Arabidopsis thaliana: one gene and its partner. The protein of the gene in region 2 interacts with the protein of the main gene of each other region in a biochemical or structural test. Each region holds a gene or a part of one and is shown on either strand. Other genes may lie near its edges.

The links.
Region 1: the proteins of RAP74 (region 2) and CPL3 form a complex in vitro, tested with the Arabidopsis thaliana proteins (one study listed by BioGRID).

Annotation. Positions count from the first base shown.
Region 1 is NC_003071.7:14,201,733-14,212,763, forward strand, and holds CPL3 (C-terminal domain phosphatase-like 3), read right to left. Parts: upstream 7,461-11,031; 5' UTR 7,066-7,460; coding exon 6,443-7,065; exon of another isoform or gene 6,318-6,442; coding exon 6,182-6,317; intron 6,104-6,181; coding exon 6,048-6,103; intron 5,949-6,047; coding exon 5,888-5,948; intron 5,772-5,887; coding exon 4,458-5,771; intron 4,381-4,457; coding exon 3,742-4,380; intron 3,668-3,741; coding exon 3,521-3,667; intron 3,439-3,520; coding exon 3,170-3,438; intron 3,082-3,169; coding exon 2,970-3,081; intron 2,884-2,969; coding exon 2,626-2,883; intron 2,545-2,625; coding exon 2,498-2,544; intron 2,413-2,497; coding exon 2,349-2,412; 3' UTR 1,669-2,348; downstream 1-1,668. Other genes in the region: AT2G33550 (Homeodomain-like superfamily protein), read right to left, coding at 8,448-8,758, 9,034-9,078, 9,167-9,755. UniProt on the Arabidopsis thaliana protein: Completely dephosphorylates 'Ser-2', and partially 'Ser-5' and 'Ser-7' of the heptad repeats YSPTSPS in the C-terminal domain (CTD) of the largest RNA polymerase II subunit (RPB1). Involved in defense response.
Region 2 is NC_003075.7:7,453,001-7,459,579, reverse strand, and holds RAP74 (transcription initiation factor IIF subunit alpha RAP74), read right to left. Parts: upstream 4,842-6,579; 5' UTR 4,769-4,841; intron 4,643-4,768; 5' UTR 4,611-4,642; coding exon 4,440-4,610; intron 4,356-4,439; coding exon 4,203-4,355; intron 4,121-4,202; coding exon 3,975-4,120; intron 3,899-3,974; coding exon 3,519-3,898; intron 3,382-3,518; coding exon 3,263-3,381; intron 3,086-3,262; coding exon 2,954-3,085; intron 2,845-2,953; coding exon 2,632-2,844; intron 2,539-2,631; coding exon 2,314-2,538; intron 2,208-2,313; coding exon 2,119-2,207; coding exon of another isoform or gene 2,115-2,118; exon of another isoform or gene 1,584-2,114; coding exon 1,262-1,583; 3' UTR 1,225-1,261; downstream 1-1,224. Other genes in the region: AT4G12617 (B3 domain protein), read right to left, coding at 17-400; AT4G12600 (Ribosomal protein L7Ae/L30e/S12e/Gadd45 family protein), read right to left, coding at 5,372-5,530, 5,892-6,284. UniProt on the Arabidopsis thaliana protein: TFIIF is a general transcription initiation factor that binds to RNA polymerase II and helps to recruit it to the initiation complex in collaboration with TFIIB. It promotes transcription elongation.

The DNA of each region.
Region 1 (11,031 bases), on a different chromosome or scaffold from region 2:
CAATTTAAGTTGTTAGGGAAATGAAATAGAGAGGTAGAAATGGGTAAAAGACAAATTCAATTTGGTCTGAAACTGAAAACAACTTTTGCCTTTATAGCCATAGGTTGGCTAAAAGAGTGTTACTGGCCCATCCCCACCTTCTCACCTCTCGTCTCTGATCTTCCATTTTCCATACTCAATTCCCTTTTACCTTAACTAACTTTTTTTTTTTTGGCAAACACCTTTACTAACTAAGTTTTAAGTACTATCACTTTTTTTAGCAACAAAATAATTATTACATTGTGTTCTTTAATACACGAATTACAAGGAGAAATGCGCACACACATTCACACTTTCGGTTCTTATGTGTTAAAAATATATTCGGTTCAAATGGTAACCGAAAAACGAAAAAGAACAATCCAATGTAAACCAAACTATTTCCATAAAATCTATTTGTTACAATTTTTTTATATTTATTTTGTCTATCTGAATCACTACAGTTTAAAACCATTGAGTGATAAATAAAGATTAATCTTCTCTGTAAAACAGACTAACTCATCTCGACAGATCTCTCTGTTGCTTTATCTGCCTTGAGGTTTTAAGGTCTCTTGGCTTTGCATTTGTTTAATTACTTAAGCCAAGTGGTGCTTTTCAATATCTTAACTTTATTGGATTCAAATTTGAGTTATCATGGACCTGCTCTTTGTTTTAAGAATGATGTACATAGTATTATTGAATAATGTACATTTTGAAACAGCTAAATCTGTAAACTTTAGACAGGGGAAAAGAATTATAGTTTTCTATGAACATGTGATTAATATTGAGTTATTTGTACTTAATTGGATATCCCTGCTAAACAGTAAGATCCACACACACACAAAACAAAAAAACAATCCCAAGACCAAAAAGTTGTGTCTTTCAATCCTACGACACTTTTGTGTTACTACCATCTTGATGTGCGTTTGTATATAATATACCATGCTAATTTGGTTTGGAAGTTACACAAAAAGACTTAGGTCAGATTGAAAAGGGTCTAAACTTTGGAAGAAAAGTTCATTAACATAATTAGAAATCAATATGTGATATGATTCACAAGACCACCTTCTCCCATAGTTAGCAAAAGCTAGCTTGTTTGATTAAGATTCGAGAAATGGGGCAAAAGTGTATGATGTGGTGGGGACTATTAAATTAAAGAGCCGCATGCCTATAACACAACCACTTCTTATGTGGTATCACCAATTTCATACCTTTTGTCTCTCCCTTTTCTCTTTATCTTTAGTGTATCAAATATATGCTAACAATAGGATAATACTATGATATATTTGATATTCATGATAAATTTAGCAAAGATACTCTCGGAAGGATTCACCCTTAATAGAATATATACTATATATATTGAATTTGTTAAACCAAGGTATTACATTAATTTCAAACTCCAAATCATCAACTCGGTAGAGGCTGCGTGCAAGATTTTGTTATATGGAAGATTTGACTTTCACTAGAAATACAATCATTTTGGTCTTTTAAAATTAGCATTTTTGGTTATTATAGTCTTCACATAATCGAATCGATTACCCAAATGGTGCAAAAGCATAGAGAGATCCTGAGGATTAATTTCTGAGTTCTTAAAAGTTTTTTTTTTGTGTGTTCTAAATATTCATCAAAAGCATCAGTACCTGCAGAATGAAATGACGTGCCAAATTCCATTCAGTCATTTACCAATTGATGGTACCCTTAATAGTATATAGTCCATTGTGGTTTTACGGTTAATAATGATCCATTACCAATAACTTAGACGTCAAGTAACTGTTTAATGTGGTCTCTGTTTGTCATACTTAATGAATTTGGTTTCTCCACCACATTTAATTCTGGGGATTAGTAAGGCATATGAACATTTCAATTAAAGCTTTCTTCTCTTCTCTGTTGCCTTGGTACCCCATCAGAATTGCTTCCGACAAGAGACATAAATACCACAACAAACATTTATCTGACCGATCATGAATCAACAGATGAGAACCAAAATTGAACATGATCCTCTCCTTTGACACGTGACCTTGGCACATCATACTTTCTAATGCTGGGTCTCTCTGGTGTTATTTTTTTAGATTCAGAGACAGACTAGTTTCCTTCACCATCCCAAAGTAAGTAGATCTACTCTAGACCATTGATACAATGTGGAGTTCGTTTTGTTAAAAGCCCCCAATACCTTTGGCATTTTAATGAATTCGCTTCTTTTGGGGCAAAAGAATGTGTATGTACCCCGGGGCCTAGCCTAATCAACCCAATATGACTTATTGGGTTTTCAGGCCTTCTTAAGTCTCAATTCCACCAAATGGTGGGGATTTAAGAGGGCGGATCATGGATTTGGTTTACGGGTTGATGGCATATAAGTTCTCATTTGCTCTCTGGTACAGAAAAGCTGATGCTTCCACCCTACACTCAGACGATGAAAACTATTACAATCAGGAATAGACCAGTTTTTTTTTCTATCTTTAAGAGGAGACCAAGAGGGCCTTACCAGCCAGGATGAACAACAAATCTACCTCTGGTTAGTGCCCAATTTACCTGCTCAAACAGACACATTCAGAATCTCCCCAATGATATTTCTTCTGTGGCCCAACAGTTAAAATTTGCAGACTTCCTTACCTTGTCGGTTCCAAGAGAATTTGTGACAACATGAGTGACATGTTCATCCACCTGGGTTGTGCAGACAGCACCAAACTGCTCAGCAGTTTGCCACAGGGGATGCAAGTGCGGTTTGGCTTCACCCACTGGGATTATCCGACTAAATACAATCCTACAACCAGCCAATATCTTTCGTTGCTCAGAAGCTAAAATATTTCTCACATCAACTTCATCTAATGAAGTGTGCGAGAAGAAATTTTGATGTATTTTCTCAATAACCTGCACAGTGAAACCATGTGATGATGCTGAGATCCAAAACGAAGAGTAGAAAATAACATAACAAGGTGCATAGACAAAGTGCAGACCGCTAATGAAGATGCCAATGTGCCCTCCTCAGGTACCTCATCACGATCTAACTCAAGAAGAGAAGGACCAAGAAGCCCAAATTGCCGTCTACTACAAGGGAAATAAAGATATCTGCAAAACAAGATAATTAACATCAGCAGGAAAATATTATACAGTAAGTACTACGGTCTCATGTTAGCCATAGTGTGAAAGATGATACCTTTCAACAGCTATTAAATTCATTTTGTGTTGAGGCCACACTCGGACAGAGTCATCTATGATCACCACAGACGATTCCATACCCATAACTCCTTCTAAATCTTTGCTCTTAGGTACTCGTTCGTCTCCATCAAGAGGATCTCCATCATCTCCTTTCGATATGACCCGTCCATTAAATAGAACCCCTTTGGGATCAAGCAGCTTGGCCATCTCTGTAGCATACAATTTGTTTCCCATAGTGTAAAGATGTAACTCGTACAGCTTGCTAGCCTGAAATTCACAGGAATATTTACATTTTAAGTCTTCCACACGTAGTTGAACAGTAGTAAGATAATATTATTAACTAAGTCACCTTCTCCAAAAAATTCCAAATCCCTGGTCTTAGTTTAGTCCACATTCCCATGTGCAGGAAACGAAAGAGATGTCTATATGGTTTCTCACGATCTTGTTCTTCCTTCTTTCTTAATATCTCCTCGTGGCGGGATTCAACCTCATTAAACTGAAAACGATAGAAACAAAAACTTTAGAAAAAATATAAGAAAAGTAATCAAACCAGAAGGAAGATAAACTAACCTTAGCTGAATTGAGAAGGGTGTGGTCTATATCCAAGACAAGAGAGAGCTTTTGAGATGCAAACATTTTATTCTGTTCCTCTAACCTACGAACTCTCTCTCTTTGAATAGCTACTCTCTGAATGTCATCATATCCTTCAAATAGGTGTTCCACATCTCCCCAACTGTTCATGGAACGAGTGGGACCAGCTGCAGCCGTTACTGATGCTGCTGAAACTGACACATCCTCATCCTGGGCATTGGGATTTGAAGGATTATGTTTAACATCTCTCTCCGTCTTAAGCTGTACCGAATGCATACTTGCTGGGGGATTGCCAAGTTGTTGTGATACGACAACCATATCAGCAATACTTTTCAGGTTTTTGGTGAATTGTGTTGAAAAGTCTGGTGTCTTCCCACTGAGAAGTTCACCCGAAATTTTCATTTTGCTGGTACCATTCTGGCTAATATTTTGCCGTGGATCAAGCTGGGGAGGTGTTTCCAAATCTTCTGCCTTACCCTTCATAGTCAAGGTTCCTAGAGTGGAAGGATCATTCACTTTGGTCTGCTTTTCCATTGAAGAGTCCGTTCTTTGAAGAGTACTTCCATGCAGGATTCGGCGAGGATCACGAGGTTTCATGCGAATGCTTCCAGATTCGGCCTGAAAGTACCAAAAAATAGTTGGAGAAAAAATTGAAAGAAAAGGTTCTAGAATCCCTATATATAAAGGATACTCACTGCAGGGGCGTTTTGGGAAGAATCCTGAAGTACTCCTGAGTTTAAAGAATTAGCAGCTAAAGCATTTGATGCAGGTATACTAAGCGGTGTTGATACCCCTGGTTGTACGGAAGAGCCAGGGAGTTGTGCTGCTCTTCTTGGATCCATGGGTTTCTGAATAGCTTTTTCAGGTACCTTTTGTCTTTCTCCCATTTTCAGGAGATTCAGTAGCATTGTAGGATTTACTGCAATATCCTTCAAAAGGGATTGCAATGATGCAGTATCAGTTGAAGCTGTCCGTACTTTTTGGCTCACAGAAACAGCACTCGTGGGCATAACACTTGATGTCATAGATGTTACACCGTTCTCAATTAGCCTGGGCTTGGATTCCAGTTTTAGAAGTCCCGATGATTCTGTATCCTCTAGCCAGCCACCAGTTCCAGCTGCTTTTGGTGCATCCGTATCACTCTTTTGTCTTTTCCATGCAGGCCCATCAATTAAAAATTCATCAGCGGCTTTTTGTTTTCTTGGGTTCACCAAGTCTGCAGAAAGCTCTACTTTTGAAAGATTTCTAGCGTCGCCAGACGAGTACGAATAAATGGTTACATTGGCAGCATCAGGTTTCGCAAGCCTTAGTCTTGGATCTCGACTCTTTGCAGAAGGTTTCACTGTCTGATCAGAGGCAGTTGGTGCAGAAATAGCATGAATTGACAGATGATGTGGTGGAACAGTGCTAGAAACAGAATTTGCAACAGGCATGCTTCTAGAATTAAAATTGGAGGGCAGAGGAACGTCTTGCCCATAAATTAGGTGACTCCCCGGGTTCGAGCTCTTAACAACAGAACTGGAAACCTCTCCACCAACGTCTCCATTGCCATCATTAGGTTCTCCTGATGGGGTTGGGCTTGGAAGGTCATCTGTCTTAAACACTGAATTAAGACCAAATTTTTGCTGGTAGGTAGAAACTGCTTTACGGGCATCACTCTCATATGAATAGACTTTGGCACCCTCAGTCGTTTGGCTCTCTCTACCAACGGGAAAACCTGGTCTAACCATTGTATGGCGACCATTTACAGGTAAACTTGGTGTTGTTTCCCTTGTGGGCGACGGAAGGCTGTCTGCATCATGATCCTTATGAAGGTCTAGAAGAGGCAGCATAGGCAACCTACTCCTTAAGTAGGCGGCTCCTCGATGTGTACTTTCTGAAGTCAGCTTTTTGGCAAGAAAAGAATCACCATTACTCGGCTGAGTCATTTGATTAACATTCTCTTCACTGCTGGTTCCAGCAAAAACTGCAATAGCAGAACGGCTTAAATCCTGATTCATGGTCTCTATCTGCAAAACCAAGACATGTACTTATGTAAGACGAGAAGGCACTCATCCCAATGTTTGGAACAGTGGAAAAGATTTTGACTTGTGCTACTTCAACAGGTAAACCAAAGGAAACGCACCTCATTTTTCTGGTTGAATGAGAGAAATTGGGAAAAATGGTCATTTACAAGAGTCAGCAATCTGCACAAGAAAAACCAAAAATAATGTGAGCAATCAAAGGACTCCAAGAAGCATCTTTAATCAAAGGCTGGCACAGTAAAAACACAGATTCACAACAACCTTGACATAGTCTCCTTATTACGCTCCTTGGAAATATTGTTCATCGAGCAAAACACCTGAAAGATAATAGATTAGTTACATAAAACCGTAAACGTAACAGAAGATTGAGGGAAGGGATCTTGAGTGGCACATACATAGTTAATGGTTTGAAGAGAAGCAAATGACAATTGAACTAAAGTATCCCTCTTCGGAAAATCATCATTATCTGAAACCAGCTCTCGCAAAGACTCTAACGCCCCCAATATTCTGGAACAAACTCCTTCAAATCCGCTGAAACGAAACAGAACAAAACATGAAAAGAAAAAAAAATCAAACTTCACTCATCAAACTCTGACAGATGTTTTAATTTTTTTCATCATCATCATCTGATCTCTCCATTCTCAGGATAGTCTTACGTCTGTGCTTCTACCAACGAAGTACTCTCCAAAACACCACGAATTAGTTTCACTTTCTTCTCCAAATCTCTCTCCTTTAGAATTCGATCATCTTCAACTTTATCAGCACTTATCAACACAACAGATTCAGTATCCTTCTCAACCAAATTGTCATCAGAAGCATTGTCGACCAAATCAATTTCACCTTCCTCCAACTCACCTTCTTCTTTCTCATCATCACTATCTTCAATCACAATCTTATCACTCTCTCTTGGTTCATAATCCATTACCAAACCTTCATTAAAAGGTTTGTTCTGCACAGCTCGAGCCCAAGCTAAATTAGATAAACCCGAATTCGCATATGGACGGTAAGCAGGATACTGAGAAATCAACTCCTCCATTGTCCAAACCCTAGAGTTGCCATTAGAACCACCACCACCTCCTCCTCTTCCTCCAGCCACAACCCCAACATCGACGTCTCCGCCAACATCGGCCGTAGTAGTAGTACTCTTGTGCTTAACTTCAATCTCAGTGTTGACAGAATCAGGAATCTCACCTTCCTCAACATCCACCATTACCATCAAGTTTTCATCGTTGCCCATTCGAATTAGGGTTCTAGAACAACCAGATCGAGCTACAAGCATGTAAAAATCTCAAAACTTTGCTCAAAAACGAATCCAAACCCGATTCAGAAACAAAAACCTTGAATTCGAAAATCGCCCACTTTAGTCCCCGGTCCAGAGAAGAGATCTCCAAAACAGAAAAAATTAGGGTTCTTCTCTAATTTAAACGATTCAAAAAACAGAGATTCAAGTTAAGGAAATGTTTTGTCAATTTAACTCTTTTTTTTTCAAAGATTCACAATTTCGAAAATTCCCAATTCGAGATCTACCACCACCTTTGAGAGAACAAGAGAGTTTTCAAATTTTCTTCTCCAGATCCAAATTTTGAGATGCTTATTATTTTCTCCGAAGGCCGAAACTTGAAGAGAATGTGAAATATAGACGAAGGGAGAGAGAGAGAAGAAGAAGGAGAATCTAGTTGAGAGAAGGAGTTTAATCTAGACCGTACACGTCAGCGATCCGAACGAGGTAAATTATGTCAGCGCGACGTGTGATTGGCGCCAGATGAGGGGTATTTTAAATGACGAAAGTAGACATCTCTGTGAATTTTCTTTACTAGTTTTGTGTCTGATGATCCAAAGTTTTTGACTCGAAAAGTTTGTCAGTTAACTTACCTCTATGGAAGTCGAAGTTCGTACATAAATTTCAGTGGTCAAATATGTCGTGCGGCTTTTATGAAACTGTTGCTTGTCTTTTTATTATAACTGACGAAAAAAACAAATTTGGACTGGAATTATGTGCATAACAACTATTTTGTGAAAGATAATCCAAAGTAATATGGGAACTTATTTGATATTTTGCATCACTGAGTTTTGGTATTAGTACAACTTTTGGTTTCAAATTCAAGCTCACGATAATATGTTAAATATAGTTCATGTTGCACTACAATCCAGACAAAAAAATTGGTTCGAGTTAGATACGGTTTCAATTTAATTTCTATAGATTATAAAAGAAGAAGTTAAAATACAGAAATTGTTTTCAAAGTAGCTATCAGATTACCAAACAACATAAAGTGGCAGATCTTCAATCTGCATATACCAAAGTCATTTTCTAACCAATTGAGTAACTATTTGTATATGTTCAAGGGTCATATGACTACGTATACCATTTAATATTATGTTATTAATCCTGTTGTTAGGGGAAGCAAGAAAGATGAAAACTCAATTTCATGCTATGCAACAAATCATCAACACATCAAGATGTTCAAATCAGTCAAAAGGTAACACTAAGGCAAATGATATCCTAAACCCGTATAAATCTCAATGTTTATATAAGATGTGTATAATAACCTCTTGTGGTGGCATCAATATTCAATCAACAATGGTGATAAATGATTGAAAAAAAAGGAAGAAGAAGAATGAGAAGTAATGGCCAAAGTGATATACAACTAACTTTTACTAAATCTACATCTTATCCGCGATTTTTGCCACAGCATCAGCGAGCTTATTGAGAACAGCGACTAAGCTATCACCGTGATCTTTTCTTTGCTCTCTGTCTAGTTTTAAGTTTAAATTCTGAACCTCAAGCTGTGCCGCCAACAACTGCCCGTTTCTTTCTAGTATCTCTATCAACTGATTCTGCATCTTCTTTGTTTCTCCTTCTTCTTCTTCCTCTTCCTTTTCACCAAAAGATGTCCGTTTACGCTTCCTCTCTTCTTGTGATGTCGATCCACCTTCCACGTTTGCTGCTTCTGGCTGTTTCTCTTTCACTCTACCTTCAAGTTCAAACTCAACATTTTAGTATAAAAACAAGAACATAGAGACCCTTCAACATAAACGAAAAGATCACACACCATAGGGAAGATTGTTAAACTACTTTTATAACACAATTTGAGATGCATTTTAGAATACGAAAACATCATTTATCTACATGACAACATAACTACATAGTCAAGACTCAAGAGAAACACACTCTAGAGCTCTAAAACTAGTTTGAGATTAGCATATAGAGCAATAGATCAAGCAAATACACACAGAGAGATAAACAAACCTTGATCTGCTACACAAGCTTCTTGCTTCTCTTTGTCTATAACATCTTCATCAAAAAAATTGAACTTCATAAGAAATGGAATCATTCTGATGAACATACAAAATAAAAACTTAAACTTTGATCTGAATTTTACCAGTAACTGATTTAGCCACCGGAGTAGAATTCAACTTCTCAGGACTTTCTCTCCGATCTAAATCAGACAACAATCCCTCGTCTGACGCCGGAGCCAATCCAAGCGAAAGAACCGGAACCGCCGGAGGAATCACACCACCGTCAACAATATCATAAACCTCCTTATCGAAAAAACCAGGAAGCTTCTTCTCTCTACGAACATCATTCCTCATAACCCAATAGGACTCAGTCTCTTCCTTAATCTGAGACTCCCATTCTTTAATCTTCTTATAATCTCCGGCGAGATTGCTCCATCTTTTCCGGCACTGAACCGGCCCACGATTTACACCGTGACGTTTACAGTAAGACGAAACAGAAGCCCATTTAGGCTCCATTTGACCCGACCCGAGAGCCATACCCGCCGCTCTCCCTCGCCGGACTCTGTTCTCCGCCACTCTCTTCCCTTGAATCAGAACCAGAATCTCTTGTCTCGTCCAACGAGGAAGTCTCGCCGTCTTAACGCCGTCATCTCCACCGTCATTTGACGGCGCGCTACTGTTCTCTCCACCGTCAACGGCGCTCACTCCTAATCCTAACTGTTCCAGAGCCATTCAAACGGAATATTCCTTCCCGTTTTGATAATTCCGTTCAAACGGGTTCCAGACTTAACGGCGTTATGGTGAGGACATCCCGTTAGCGCCGGAGAGAGAGAGGAGCTACAAATGAAAGAGCAAAGAAAAGATTTATTTTGTGAGATAATGACTTTTTAATGTATCTTAATCTGATTTTTAATTTGGTGACTGTAGATAAAATTGACCCTTGTGTTATCATTTTATTTTAATTTCGTCCCTTAAGCCTTTCATAAGGTTCATGTAGATATGTTGAATTTAAGTAGACCGTAATCTTTAATTCCTTTAGACCGTAATTAGGGATTACATGCTTGATATGGCTATTTCCTGATTTTTTTGACACATCACTTTCATCACCTCATTTTCTACGGCCAAGATCACTCTAAAAATAAAATCAAAAATTATCTTTTTCTTATATTAATAATAAACTGTATTTATTGTTTATGTAATAAAGATAATGCACATATAATTTTCATATTTGGTAATATTATGATATGGTTGTGTGTAAATATGGAGGGGGCGTAGATTATGGCAATAAACGCGCCCTTTGAGTATTTCTATTGGTTAATTTCTCTCCAACTACCATAAGTTGCTTTTACTCCATAATCCTTATATATGCGTTTTGGTCAATTTCCTCCGCCATTTATTTTTTTGGATTTTTCTACGTTTTTGTCAGCTTAAGATAATGACAATATTAGTGAGTCTCTGCTTTAATAACCTAGTGATCTTTAAGAGCCCTCAGGGTTTTTGGGAGTTCCATTACAAAAAATGCTATAAACATTGTAGAAGTTTTCAACAGTCACATATCATAATTAGTAACAGTACCCTAAATCATTTAAATGATTAAATGGGTTTTGGGACCCTTTTTGTAAACTATTTTTTGTTGCAATAAACTCTGAAACTATCTTTTGTTGGCATAATTCTGAGCCTACTTAAATGTATAAACAAATCGTAGCTAACCGTTCCTTAAAACAATGTAGACAATAAGACAACATCATTATGAAAAAGCAAATGAATGACGAGAGAAGCATGAGGAAAGCTTGCTGACGAGTAGAGATAGATATATCAATATATTCACTTTTGAGGGTTTAAAAATAAGAAAAAAAATCATGATAAAAAAAAGTTTGTTGTTTAAGGTTTGTAAGAAGAAAAGAAAAACAGAGATATCACTACTACATGTTAAGGTTTATGATTTTTGACAAGTAGAAAGAGAAACTCTAGAGCTCTAGAACTATAGAGCAAAGTTTTCTATGAAATA
Region 2 (6,579 bases):
GGATCCGCTCCATCAACTAAGCAACATGTTTGAAATTAAGTCTAGTGTGATGAAGATCCCACCAAAATGCAATAACATCGCCTGCCTTGTAATGTTTTCGTTCGAGAATATTATTCCATCCATGGAATTTGAAATTATCTCCATCTCTTCTTATGGTAAGAAATGTTGTAATTTTGGTATCAATATCAAAAAGTTCAATCACCTTTGGCTTGTTAGGAACTTGTAACAATCCGACGAGATAACTTATATCCATGAAACGAAATAAGTTGGCCTCTAGTAACGTTTTTGGCATCATTATCGTAGTACTCAAATCTATGTCAAATGGTGACAACGTTATCATGATGTTAAAAGGGTTTTCTACCTCATACGGCTGATCTTCAAAATACCTATTACCTGCCATATGATATGAGTTAAACACAATATATATATGAAAATCGGTTTTTAATGTTCCTTAATTACTCTGTAAATATTTATGTCAGGTTTCTATTATCTCCTTGTTTATGTGTTAAGGGTATATATAATAACAATTCGTCCAAAAAAAAAAAGTATATATAATGATAATAAGCAGATACAATTTTCTTTAATTCATAAATATTGTGAGATTAACAATTAATTAAATATGTTTTGTCTTTACTAAATAACACTAATTTTGTTTAATAAATAGTTTGATGTTATCATGACATATATAGATTTATAGTTTTTCAATTCTAACACGTGTTAAAAGTAAACTAAAATTTGACAAAGATGATTTGACATTTTTTTAATAGTAAACACTGAAACTATTAATTACTTGATTTCTTTTGAAAGTACATCACTTTTAGAAAGAAAAAAAAATGTTTCAGTTTTGATTTGTATTTGACATTGTTGGTGCATGTAATTGTAAGCTTGCAAATTTAAACTCGGTAAGATAATGTGAGACGTGTTAAAAAAAAAAAAAGATATTGTAAGACCGTCTTACTAAGACGTGTTACAAAATATAACCTATTTTTAGCCAAAATATTACTGTAGTGTTAATTAGATTATCAAATGTGTTAAATTAATTGTATTGTCGATACATATGTTGATTACCACAAAATAGAAAATTATATGAAAACACAAACTATTAATTATCATCGAAAAGATCTGATGTCATCTTTGTTAATATTTTCGTAATTGTGTTAACATATAAATCACCACCGAGAACCAAATCGGTCCGGTTGAAAACCTTTTGAAAACAAGACACGAGAAAAATTCTTATTATTATTACTAAATTCACATGAGATCATGAAATAGATAAACGAGTTAGATCAGAAGCAAGCGGAGTAACATTATCTCTCAAAACAACAACAAACTTTTCAGAACCAGGGTTCTTCTGTAACTTTGCGATCTTCTTGAGAATATGGGAAAAGGAATCCTTGTCCTCTGTGGTTGTAAGTCTTTCCTTAAACCTCATAACAAGTTCCAGTGTAGTTAATTGCTTCTTCTCCATCAGAACTTTGCGGATTTCGTCTTCAGTCACAAGTTCCATCTTGCGTGGTTGAAGATTAGATCGGATGTTGAGCTTGTTCACACGACTTTCTCTCTTCCCTGGTTTAGGCTGACATCTGTAAAACAAAGGAGAGAACAATAATACTTCGCCTTTTATATTGTAGCGTTGCTTGCTCACCAAGGCAAAGTTTCTTATATTGTCCTTTTAATGACTCTGATTTTCTTTTTTTTGGAGAGAAAAGTAGTAGAATCTCGTCTTAGGAGAAACTCTGTTTCTTTATATAAGAGTCCCAACGATCTTATCTCTCCATCATATAAGCAGTTGGAAACCTAATTGTATTTATCCGAATCTCAGTAAATCCTAATCACAATAGGATCCCTACGAATGGGCTTTTTTATGGTTACTATTTTCCTCTTCACAATTGGGCTTTCACTGGAACATTCCATTTTTGAAAACCTTCGCATAAAACATTTTTTTCGAATAAAACATTTGAAGATTTTCAATTACTAATAGTGTCATGGGAAAAAAATAGGTCCAACTTTAAACATCTGAAATCAAGAAATGAGAAAAACATTCTTATTTTAACTAGCTCATGAGATATCTTGAAATCTTTTTGAAAAGAGTTAGCTGTGAAAACAGGAAGTCCTCACTTTTCTCTCAAAACGACGAAGTTTTGAGAACCAGCGTTCTTCTGTATCTTTGAGATCTTCCTCAGAATATTGGCAAAGGCATTCTTGTCCTGTAAAAAGACACAGTTATATAACACAAACGATTGATTTGTCCAGAATAAGCTCAGATAAAAACCATATGGTCACTTCAAGAAGGAATATTAGACTAAATATTACCTCTTTGGTCTTAAGTCTTGCCTTAAACCTGGAAACAAGATCCTGTGTAGTGACTTGCTTCTTTTCCATCAGAACAGCGCGGATTTCATCTTCAGTCACAGGCCCAGTCGCAGCTGAGGATGATGATGCAGGAGCTGAAGCTGGTTCAGCTTTCACAGCTTTTGTTGGTGTGTTGGATTTGGAAACTGTGTTTGCTCTCTCTTCTTTCAAAGAAGATTTCGGATCCTGCTTACAAAGATTACAGAAACCTGTTTGTTAGAAATCAAATCCAGCACAAACGATCAACTCTTTCTCAAACATAGAAATCAAGTATCTTACATTTTCAGTCTTCACTTTCTTTTGAACAGAGCTGCTAGGCTTTTTAGAATCGCCGTCGTTTAGTTTTCTCTTTCCCTTGGATGGTTTTGCAGGAGGTGTTCCACGAGGAGGTCCAGATGGTGCAGGTTTTGCAGGTGCATTATCAACAGGTTCTTCTTTCGCCGCCTCCTTCTGTTTTGAGTTCGTAACTGTACCGTAGTTTGTCTCCTCCTCCTAAGAATGACATTCATGATGATTTGCGTGTATCCAAACCAGATAAAATGAGTTTGATTGAAAATTTAACAATTTTTTAAGAAGTAAAATATGTCAAAAGAGGGCTTACATCATCAGAATCATCATCATCGTCTTCATCAGATTCGTCCAAACCATTAGCCTTACCAAGCAGTTTCTTCAACTCTTTACCAGATTTGCTCAAACCTCCCTCCTCTTCTTCATTTTCTTCATCATCCTCATCCTGCAAGGGATGTCAAAAGAAAGTTACGACCTCATAGGAAGTAAAGGCACAACAATCCTGTAATTAGTAAACATTGAAACTTGGATAACATATAAATGGGATTACCAACAGAAATTACTACAGTTAGTTTCACAGAAAATTGTACATTGGAAGTAAAGCACTATAGTAAGTACAGACCTGCTTTATTTCTGGAGGAGCAGGAATTTCAGGAGCCAGAAGGTCTTCACGTTCCTCAGGATCATTACCGACTGCTTCATCATCATCCGTGAAAATTTCCTCGTGCTCCCAGTCATCCCCTGAATGCATTATAATTTACAGACATTTCAGCAGTTTTGTTAAATAGACAATGAAGAACAATCATGTCAATCTATTGACGAAAATGCTAAAGTCATTCTTAAGCTTCTTGACGATCATTTGGTAATAGATCACTCACCCTTCTCAATGTCATCATCATCCATGTCAAGATCACCACCCCTTGGACCTTCTTCATCATCATCATCATTACTCTTTCTATTAAGTCCAAGTCTACTTTTCCGTGACGCCTCTTCCTCTTCATCTTCATCCCCTCTGTCAGAAACATTTCCTTCCTCTTCATCACCGCCTGATGACTTCTTACGACCCCTACCACCACCTCCACTGGTTCCACCGCTCTCCTTTTCATTATCCACTTCTCCAAACAACGCTGGACCATTATTCGCAGCTTTCATCATCCACCTTTGATAACCATCAGCCGTTTTTCTCCGATTCTTCATCTTCTCTTCCGCTTCTTCCAATGTAAGTTGCTTATACTGTGCAACCTTGTTGAAGTTATACCTAACACAGCACAAAAATAATCAGAATTCGGATAATACAACAACAGAAGAAGCAACGGTAATTTGATTCTCCATACCAAGAACCAGCAGGAATCGCAACAAACTCTTTGTTCTGCATCACTAAGAGATAGTAAGTAGCAGACTGAGAGCCTTCAAGATGTCCCTGGTACTGAAACTGTCCAGTTTCATCTTCCAAGATCCAAGGTTTGTTCTTTAACTTCTCCTACAAAAATTAGAATCCACACAAAACTCATTGTAAAAACCATCAAAATGATTGGTATGATCCAAAACAAACACAAAATTACCCGTTGTGCATCTGTAAACTGACGACCTTGCGGTATATCTTTACGAAGAGACCATTTATTCTCAGAACCTTTCTTGAAATTAGGAAGACCAGTCACAAATCTACCAATGAAGTAGTTCTTATCCGTAGGTGCCGCAGCACGAACGTTATACTCCTAAACAATTTCACCCAAACAACAATTTTATCAAAATTTTCTTCAGAAACTCAAAATTGTTTGAAGAAACACACAAAATCTAACCCGAATCAAACGTGTAACGACGGTTCCACACTCGTGACACTTAGATTTATTCTGCGCCATGGTTCTACCACACTTCAAACACAACGTCATGTGTCTACAAGAGCTTCCATATAAATCGGATTGTGATCCGCAACCAACACAAGACGTATTCAATTGCAAACAGTTCGACATAATGTTCTGATCCCAAGGAAATCGTCTTCTTTCTGAAACCGTAAAAGAAGAGAGAATTTAGGGCTTCACGATTTTCGAAAATCTAATTGCGAAGCTAACAGAAGGAATCCAAGATAAAATCTAACGATTGTGTTGTTGGAATCTAGGGTTCTTATTACCTTTCTGAGATTTGAGATTGCAATTCAGAGTTTTGTTTGCGAATGATTTTGAGAGAATGTTAAGCTTTGGGATCTCTAATGAAGAGGAGGTTATAAATAGTGAGTCCGAAGACTTACATGTTAAAAGACTGATTTACCCTTTTGACTGATCCAAAGAATACAAGTGTTTTTTTTTGGGTCTCAACTTAATAACATTCATTTAACCATATCCAATATTTATATTTTTGATACAAACATGCTAGTTTTAATATCTTGTGCTTAGTAGCAGAAGGAGAAAGTTTGTATCCTACTTATGATAGGTTCTACGTGCTTCATTTGGCTCCCAATATTACATATCAATTATCCCATTATGCAACAAAAGACCAAAGTCACCAAACAAATAACCAAATTGAAGAAACTCACTTTAAAAGGATTCTTGTTGTTCATAAATGCATTGGCACCAACACAATATCAAATAAAAAGCATTACAATCTTCAAAAAGGATAGGATTCGTTCACAAGTTTTTTGTTTTTCTCATAGGCTAAAAAGTTGCACATAAACTCACTTCAGTCCAAGCCTCTTCATAAATGGAGAGACCCATCATTCATTCATTCCACCAAGAATCTAGATGAGGAGCTTCTCAATGGCATCCTTAAGGTGCTGAATTTGAGATTTCAACTGACTAGCCTCGTTTGATGTAACGGAACAAGCGATCACGGGTCTGGTTACATCACATGCTCTTCCAAGGGCTTGTTTCGATGGCACAAACACATACGGCACATTCTGCAATAGTTCAAAGCCAGAGAGAGAACAACTAATTAGTAAAAGAATCAGAATCAGAATGTTGCTTGTGAAACAGATTTGCTGAATACAAATAAAGATATGTTTGTGCAGCCAAATTTAAATAGGCCAAAAAAAAAAAACTTGAATGGGAACTGTCAACTAAACATTCATGAATCAACAGAGCATAATACTCAGAAGCTAAAGTAATGATATTGTCAATCCTAAGACCAAGAATCACAGATTTAACTCATTACACAAGCTACGTTAATACAGAACAAACGAACTTCTCAATGCCTAAAAATCCTAATTGAATCTGTCTCCTACATTCATAAACTAAATTACCTAAGTGATTACTACGAACATCAACAATCACAATCTCAAAACTGGAGTCTAATAGCCAATAAAGTCTTATCTTTTTATCATATGAAGAAGATACCCAAGTGAATCCAGTAAAACTTGCAAGAGCCAAAGAAACTACTAATTGAGATTCATAAGAAAGTGAAACGATAAGAAGAAATTCAAATACCTTATCTTCAGCAAGAAGAGGAAGATGAAGAAGAATCTCGAGAGGCTCAGTATCAGCAGCCATAACAATGAACTCAGAGATCCCACGGTTCAATGTCTTGGTAGCTTCATTAGCTCCTTTCTTTAACTGTTTGTAATTCGTAGCTTGTTGAACAAGATCAAGAATCGTTATCGATAACTGAGAATCAGCTAACGGATACGCCTTAGGGTTCACTCCTTCTACCGTCATCTTCTTCTTCGTCTACGAGAGTTCTTTGTTCTAAGTTCTGAGTTCAGGGAAGAAAGAAGCGGTGAGGAGAACAAGGTAGCTAGGGTTTTAGTTTGGGTTTAATAGACAAACGAATTAGGGTTTTATAAAGGGAACACATCAAAGCCTCTCTCTGACTCAGAAGGTTTCAGATATTTTTTAAATAAAAAAAATAAAATAATTTCCACTAAATTATCGGATTCTCAGCTCTTCTCTCAGAATCTCAGATCGTGTTTTGTTTGCTTCACCAGAGAAGATCGAAGACGAAGAAGACGAG